Arabidopsis thaliana: one gene and its partner. The protein of the gene in region 1 interacts with the protein of each later gene in a biochemical or structural test. Each region holds a gene or a part of one and is shown on either strand. Other genes may lie near its edges. The genes, in order: OEP80 and PFA-DSP1.

Region 1 (3,927 bases):
ATAGTTAATGAACGTACAGAGGATGGATGTTTCATGATTCCGGTTAAAACTTGAAGAATCCTCATCATTACAGCATCTTCAGACACCAAATCTGTTTTCTCCAAACGACAACTAGTAATCCCGGAGACAATAGAATTCATAGCATCTTTTGCACCAGGTGTTTTCTCATCGAAGATCTCGATTTTAAGGATCTTTAAGATGGAGGAAAGAGCGACAGCTGTGGCGCTAGCCGGAATCTCATCGCTTTGAATAACTTCGAGGAAAGGAGAAAGATAAACCGAAGGATCTATGGTGCGCCAATCTTGTTGAGGATTGAAAATAAGAGCTCTAAGAGATTTGAGAGATTGTTGGACTGATGAATCACAGTGGTCTGTTTCTTGGGGAGAAAGGTAACTTTCTGAAAGGGGTCTACGAATGACGGCAAGGACTGCACCAACCTCCGTGTTAAGCATGCATGATATCCCTAGCTCTTTCCGCTTTGCTCTTACGGCGATACGATCCATTTCTCACCTTATCACACTCTTCTTGCCGATAAAGAAGAAAAATCATTCAGCAACTGTTTTTTTTGTTGTTCTTCGTTTTTATTCTTTATGTGTACGGTGTTGCCTTGCCTTGGTTTGATCCTATATTTAGTATATAAGTTTTAGTGGCTGAGACTCAGTGATGGGTGAGTTTCAACCATTTGTCATCACACATCTAGGAAAACTCCATCATCAGCTACCGTCAATTTCTTTAAGGCTTAAGATAGAAAACTAATGTACGTTCTGCAAAAATTCAGATTTAAGGATACATTATTTGGATCAAACGTATGTGTTCAAGGTTTTTTTTTCTTCTTCTTTTAAAGTAGAAGCAAACTCTACGATGATTGGAGTGGAAACCATTTTTGTAGGATTAGGCCTCTTCATACTGATCTGAGTCAGACTTTGCATAGCTGAAGTTTTTTTCCTCTACTATTCAATTAACCAGTAGAGAAAAACTGACGCTTAAGAGGTTAATGGAGCTTAAATTTTACCAAATTCAGACCATAACTCTATTTATGTACTGGTCCTAGTGTTTCCAAGAGAATATATCTCTCAGCTTAAATTTTACTAAAATTCAGACCATAACTTATTTATGTACTGGTCCTAATAAGATGAATGTTTTAAGGGTTTATGGCTTGCTTAAGAAGAGCCAAAACTCTCTATAATTAACAAGTCTAAAATTGACAAAATTAATATAATTGGTTTTGTTACATGTTTGTGACCATAACTACTAAAAAAATTCACAGAAAAACTATTCAATAATCCTTGTTTGTTCATGTGTGTGATCTATTAATCAATAAAATCAAGAAAATGGATAGGAGAAATCAACTAACGTTTTTTTCTCAAAAATCTATTTATTTATTTTGATTAACATGTTTTGAACGTTAGTTAACTAATTTACCCTACAAAAAACTAATTTACCGTCAAATAAATGAGAAATCCCCTTAATGAGAAATTGATTATTTTCCAAAATATTTATTTGACGCAATTTTATTTTCATTTTTGAAAATCCAGTAATTTTACAAAACCTAATAATATACTCAAAGGAATGTTTACATAAAACATTCAAAAAAATAATTTGTTTTTTGTTTGTTCGTAAATGGGCTTTAACATCACCTCCTTTTCACTCTATCATCTTCTACTCCGAGTCTCCGAATCAAAAAAAACCCTAGCTCTTATTTTTTGTTCTTAGATTTTATCTCTTAAGCTCTTCTTCTTCCTTGACATTTCCTCAATTTCACTCCCGAGTACGATTAACAATGCATTGTCACAACGATGATGTTCGCTTCTCTTCATCTTCTATCAGAATCCATTCTCCATCTCCCAAAGAACAACACTCTTTACTCACCAATCTCCAATCCTGCTCTAAAACCTTCGTCTCTCACCTCTCAAATACTCGTAACTCACTAAACCAAATGCTCCAGTCGCTAAAGAATCGCCACACTCCTCCTCCACGTTCGGTTCGTCGTCCCAATTTACCGACTCAGATGCTCAATTCAGTAACCCAGCTTATGATTGGGAAGTCTTCTCCAATTTCATTGTCTCTTATCCAATCCACCCAATTCAATTGGTCTGAATCAAGAGATGAGAACGTTGAGACAATCCGTGGACTAAGCTCGCCTCTGCTCTGTTGTGCCTCTTTGTCTCTAACTAGACCTAACGAGTCGACTCAGTCAGTGGAAGGGAAGGATACAGTACAGCAGCAGAAGGGTCACTCGGTGAGTCGAAATGCGGAGGAACGAGTTCTGATTAGTGAGGTTTTAGTAAGAACGAAAGATGGTGAGGAACTTGAGAGGAAGGATTTGGAAATGGAGGCATTGGCTGCTTTGAAAGCTTGTAGAGCTAATTCAGCGTTGACTATTCGTGAGGTACAGGAGGATGTACATAGGATTATAGAAAGTGGGTACTTTTGCTCTTGTACTCCTGTTGCTGTTGATACACGAGACGGGATTCGGTTGATGTTTCAGGTAATATTTTGATTGTTACTCTTTTTGTTGGAGGAGAAAGGTCTCGTTTTTATGTTTCTGGGATGCAAATAATTCTCATTTTCTTGCCATAAGGTAGAACCAAACCAAGAATTTCGTGGGTTAGTCTGTGAAAATGCAAATGTTCTTCCTTCCAAGTTCATACATGAAGCTTTCCGAGATGGGTTTGGTACGTATCCTCCAATTTAGCTTGTTTTTTTTTCTTCTGTACTGTACTAGACTTATCTGTCAATTCATTGATTTACGTTGGGAGTAAAATGGATTAATGATATTGGAACCTGACAAATATTTCGAGTACTAATGATGAAGCTAAGAATTTTCTAACACATGGTGTAAAATGTGTTAGCCTTGAATGAAGAAGATAGATTAGAGGTAGGTAGTATTCTCAAAATGTATCCATGCTCCAAAACAGAGCATAATTTGAAGTTGCATTTAGTTTACACATATTAATGTATTGAGGCTAGTTAGGTGGATTCCTTCTGTTCGGTGTGTGTTTGATTGGAGAGGGTAATGGTTAGTAAATGTTGGTGTCAAGCTGTGTAGGGAAAGTGATTAATATTAAGAGACTGGAAGAAGCTATTACATCCATCAATGGATGGTACATGGAGCGTGGTCTTTTCGGAATTGTAAGTGCTCTTTTTACACCATAATTACTTTTTCAAAAAAAAAAATCATCCTGGATTCAGTCTTATACTTTGTGGTTAGAATCATCATTCTGTTGTCTGCCATTGTAGGTTTCAGATATTGATACGCTTTCTGGAGGTATAGTAAGGCTTCAGGTTGCTGAAGCAGAGGTTAACAACATATCCATCCGATTCCTTGATCGTAAGACGTAAGCTGGTGCCAATCCCTCCCTTATGAATGTAGTTTATATTGGTTTAAATTGTAGGCAATTCTGGATGGCACTGGTAGCTTCCTTTTATTTCAACTATTAGATTACGATTTCATTGATAATGGTGCCTTCTATATTTAGTGGGGAACCAACTAAAGGGAAGACTAGCCCTGAGACAATACTACGGCAACTTACAACAAAGAAGGGACAGGTATTTTTTGGGCATTTCTCAGCTTAGATGTAAAGATAAGTCGCTGACTAAAACATCATAAACTATCTGAGCTGTATTTTTATGCTAAATAACACTTCTGAGTGCATCATCTGTGTATGAAATCCTTTGGAGATCTTATTTTTAATTAAGGTTAATCACTCTTTATGGTATCATGTATGTTTCTTCGTAAAATTTGGCCTTAAAGTCTTTATGCATGAGCGTCTAAGTAGGGCCTCTACATACACATCTTGTCTAATCTGGCTTTTGGTCAATTTAGGTCTACAGCATGCTTCAAGGGAAGAGGGATGTAGACACTGTGCTAGCCATGGGAATCATGGAAGATGTTAGTATTATTCCTCAACCTGCAGGAGGTGTGTA
Region 2 (3,927 bases), on another chromosome or scaffold:
ATGGATATCATGCATGAAAAAATTAAAATTTCTATGATATGGAAAAACGACAATAATGGACGAAATCTTTGTACGTCAAAATCGGAGACTTAGATCGTTAGATGCATGCAACTAATTAACAACTCCAATAACTTCAATTGAAAATGTGCGTATACTCACTCTCATGAACGGTCTTCTCGTATTGTTAATTCACTGTAATCCTTTTGCGTTTTGATACGCAACTTCGGAATGGGCAACGGTATAGCGAGGCTTACGTATGCTTTGGAAAAACATTAATTCATATATTAATGTTTTATATTCCGTGAGAAAATTTCAATGTTTTGGAAAATTAGAACAAATTAGAACAAATTCTCGAAAGATAAATTGAAGGCATTATGATATTTTCGTACGTTCTTTTTACGGAAAGTTCTTTAACGGCATCCAAAACGCTTTCGTACGTGGCCGAGTGCTCGCGGCGCAATAATCCTTGAGAATCATAAGGTATATTCCCTGGAATGTACCTTTTTTGTTTTTCTTATAAAAAAACTATCTGGTGCATTTTGTTTTTATGGAGTAATTTATCCAATTAAAGTCCAGTGTGGGACACTAAACATTACAAATTTTATGTCTTTAGCTTAGTTATCATCTGTTTTTTTTTAATTAGAAAAGAGTAGTTTTCTGGTGTGAGTGTTATGTGGAAGACAAATATGTGACGTGGATTCTAATAATGTATTGTCGTGATGTGGTTCTTTTTGCATTATTTCGTTTTGATTATGTAATAGACATATATTTAAATGGTGCGATTATGCACCGAAGAAAAACATTCGTCTCCATTTTTCTTTATACGAAATTTGACCCCAAAAAAAAGGTAAAACACGGCGTCCGTGTTATTATGTAGTATCATGTATGACAGAAATGGCAACTACAGTAGATAGTTTGGACCGAATTTTATTTTCACACAATTAAATAGTTATTTCAAGGCAGTAACAAATTGGTGGAAAAAAAAAAAAAAAAGGCAGTAACAAATATTAAAACCGAATATTGGCTAAAATTATACATTTCAAAACAATATTATGAAATTGTTTAACAAAACAAAATGTGAAAGGAACATAGAAGTAATTAATGTACTCAGATTACGATCCCATAGAACTTAAATAAAGGTGCGTTTATGAATGCCAGATGACTCAGATTAGTGATTGTTCTTCCCACTTAGCAGAGTAATTGCTCTTTGTCCTTTGGAATCTCTCTCTCTCTTTTTATTTCTCTGTGTTTCGCTTGGAATCTATATTTTCGCTATTTCCTGGAATGATGATATATATGTATGTTAGTATGTAGTAGTCAATATTTTTGTATATTGTGAATAAGTGACTTTTTCAAGGTAAATATAGGTCAGAAACTTCAAATTCAAAATATTAAATATTATAATATTGGTGAAAATATATAGTCAAAAAATGATTTTAGGTTCGGTTGATAATTTATTCAATGAGAGTGATTTACCCGAATAAGATGATTGTGTGTGAGCAAAAAGATTCCACAATGATGCCAATTTAAGCTTCAACAAGTGCTTTCCTATTAACAAGAACAATTTATGTAATATCATTTTTTTCGTTTGTTTTGCAAAACTGCAAAGTCATTTTATTTTGTTTACTTTAATAATCCTTGAAAATGTTATAACAGTTATTTCCTCAAATTAGACCATCATACTATTATTATTGTTATTATCAACCGTTGATAAAAATGGTAGTAGCATGTACAACTAAGATAGACCGTTACAAAATTCGTGTATTGTTAATTATTATATAGTTTCCGTATGTTGCTGTTTTCAGCTCAACTTGAGTAAATATAAAATATTAAACTGTTTATTCTAATATTGGATTCTTTTGTGTAGTGGCAACTTATTTTTTTCTAAGCTTTTTTTTTTTACAGATTACGGATTTCAGTATGAAATTGTAGATCCAATCAACTATTTTCACATATGCTAAAAGGTATCTAAAAAGTAAAAACACTTAACAGATTATAAACAAAAAAGCTTTTAAGATAAATGTCACAAATTCTTTAAAAATAAACAAATAAACAGCTATTGACAAACAAAAAATAAAAATAAAAAAGGAGTCCTTGCTGGGTCCATCTCCTTTGCGTTCTTTTTCGTCTGTTGAATTTTGAACAGAGTCACAAGTCTCTCTCCATATAAACCTCCCCAAGGTCGACGCTACGTAACGACCATCTCCATTACTCGACTCTCCTCACCTAAAGATTCAACCTTTTCTCTGTTTCCCAATTCAGAGATGAAGCTTGTGGAGAAGACGACTACTACAGAGCAGGACAATGGAGAAGATTTCTGCCGCACCATCATCGAGGTTTCCGAGGTTAACAGAAACGTGTTTCAGGCTCCGGGCGGTGAAGCTGATCCCTTTCGAGTTGTCTCCGGCGAAGAACTTCACCTAATTCCGCCGCTCAACTTCTCCATGGTCGATAACGGTATATTCCGGTCTGGATTCCCTGATTCAGCTAACTTCTCCTTTCTCCAGACTCTCGGTCTCCGCTCAATCATGTAAAAGCTCCTTCCACATTCATGACATTTTGTATACTATATATCAAACTTTCGAAATTGCTGATTTTAGGTTTTTTCGAATTTGTGAAGATACTTGTGCCCGGAGCCCTACCCAGAGAGCAATCTCCAGTTCCTTAAATCCAATGGAATCAGGCTTTTCCAGTTTGGTATTGAAGGCAACAAGGTAACCATCTTTCTTCTCCTCTCTCTTCATCAAGTCTCCGTTTTTAATTGCTCTGTAATTCTAAACCTTACTTGGATAGTTCACTAGGAGAATTCTCTGAATGGAAAAATCATATCTTGCTGCAGTGTGTTCCTGACTTAGACAACGAGATTTCCTTGCATTTATGGAATTCTAAGCATCAGAAACAGGGTCCCTTAACTAATGGACTTTCGAAAACTTTGGTACACACTACATATATTAACTGGAACACGATACTATTTCTGGAATATATCATAGTTCATTCAATTTGAAGGGTTTTATTTGCTTGATATTTATTGCCTAATTGTTCTTGAAAATCCTGTCTCATTGTTGTTTACTTTAGACTACTAAAACTGTTTCTGTGTTTTCTTTCTCTTGAATTTGATCCTTCATGGGCACTCTGTTCCAAGCCATATTTTATTATTATGAGTTTACCAGAAAAAGAACACATCTTTCTTTATTGTTTTGCCTCTTTGGCTCTTTCCGTCTCTCTTGACCTCCACTGATTTGGTCCCACTCTTTGTTTTTCTGCCCCTTCAGCAACTATTCCCCACTTGTTCTTTCTACTCTCTATTTATAAAATTAGATTATGGACTACGTCAAAATATTTGCTGAGCTACTTGTTGCTAGTGTTGTCAATGATCCCACTACTCAATAGCTTACTTTCTGTTGTTATTGTTTTCTTGGTTCATGTTTATTGAGTGTGCACTTTTTTATACAGATATGATATCTTATGAAATCATACATCAGCGAAAGTGTTTTTGATTGTGTACAAGTAAACCGTTTTTTATGGTAAAAACTTGTAGAAAGCGTGTTGATCGTGAAAGTGTCCATATTAGCTGTAAGGTTTGAAATCTAGATAAGGTTAGGAATTGCTGGGAAAATGATAGATGGTTACGTTGTAAGTCGGTTAATGTTGTTTAATACGTACCTTTAGTTCCTTTCCTTTTCTATGTGTTAGTGGCTCATGTTTGGGCAAATCGTTGGTAAAGTGATAGAATAACCAAAAACTTCACCATAGAGTCTTGAACTTATTACCCTCATGAGTTACCATTCGCCTTTCCTGAAGAGATGGGTATGAATCTAATTTGAGTTGATATGTTTGAAAGAAAATATGTTTGTTCTGGTATGCAGTAGCTATCATTCTCTCCCCCCACAGAATCCACCTTTTCCCTGTCGATTCTACTCCTAGGAT

What was found.
Region 2: the proteins of OEP80 (region 1) and PFA-DSP1 form a complex in vitro, tested with the Arabidopsis thaliana proteins (one study listed by BioGRID).

The regions. Positions count from the first base shown.
Region 1 is NC_003076.8:6,621,543-6,625,469, forward strand, and holds the start of OEP80 (outer envelope protein of 80 kDa), read left to right. Parts: upstream 1-1,654; 5' UTR 1,655-1,780; coding exon 1,781-2,488; intron 2,489-2,581; coding exon 2,582-2,675; intron 2,676-3,049; coding exon 3,050-3,132; intron 3,133-3,240; coding exon 3,241-3,338; intron 3,339-3,479; coding exon 3,480-3,549; intron 3,550-3,826; coding exon 3,827-3,920; intron 3,921-3,927. Other genes in the region: GNL2 (GNOM-like 2), read right to left, coding at 18-503. UniProt on the Arabidopsis thaliana protein: Plays an essential role during early stages of plastid development.
Region 2 is NC_003070.9:1,423,396-1,427,322, forward strand, and holds the start of PFA-DSP1 (Phosphotyrosine protein phosphatases superfamily protein), read left to right. Parts: upstream 1-2,143; 5' UTR 2,144-2,264; coding exon 2,265-2,530; intron 2,531-2,620; coding exon 2,621-2,714; intron 2,715-2,839; coding exon 2,840-2,935; coding exon of another isoform or gene 2,936-3,004; exon of another isoform or gene 3,005-3,927. UniProt on the Arabidopsis thaliana protein: Cleaves the beta-phosphate at the 5-position of soluble inositol pyrophosphates.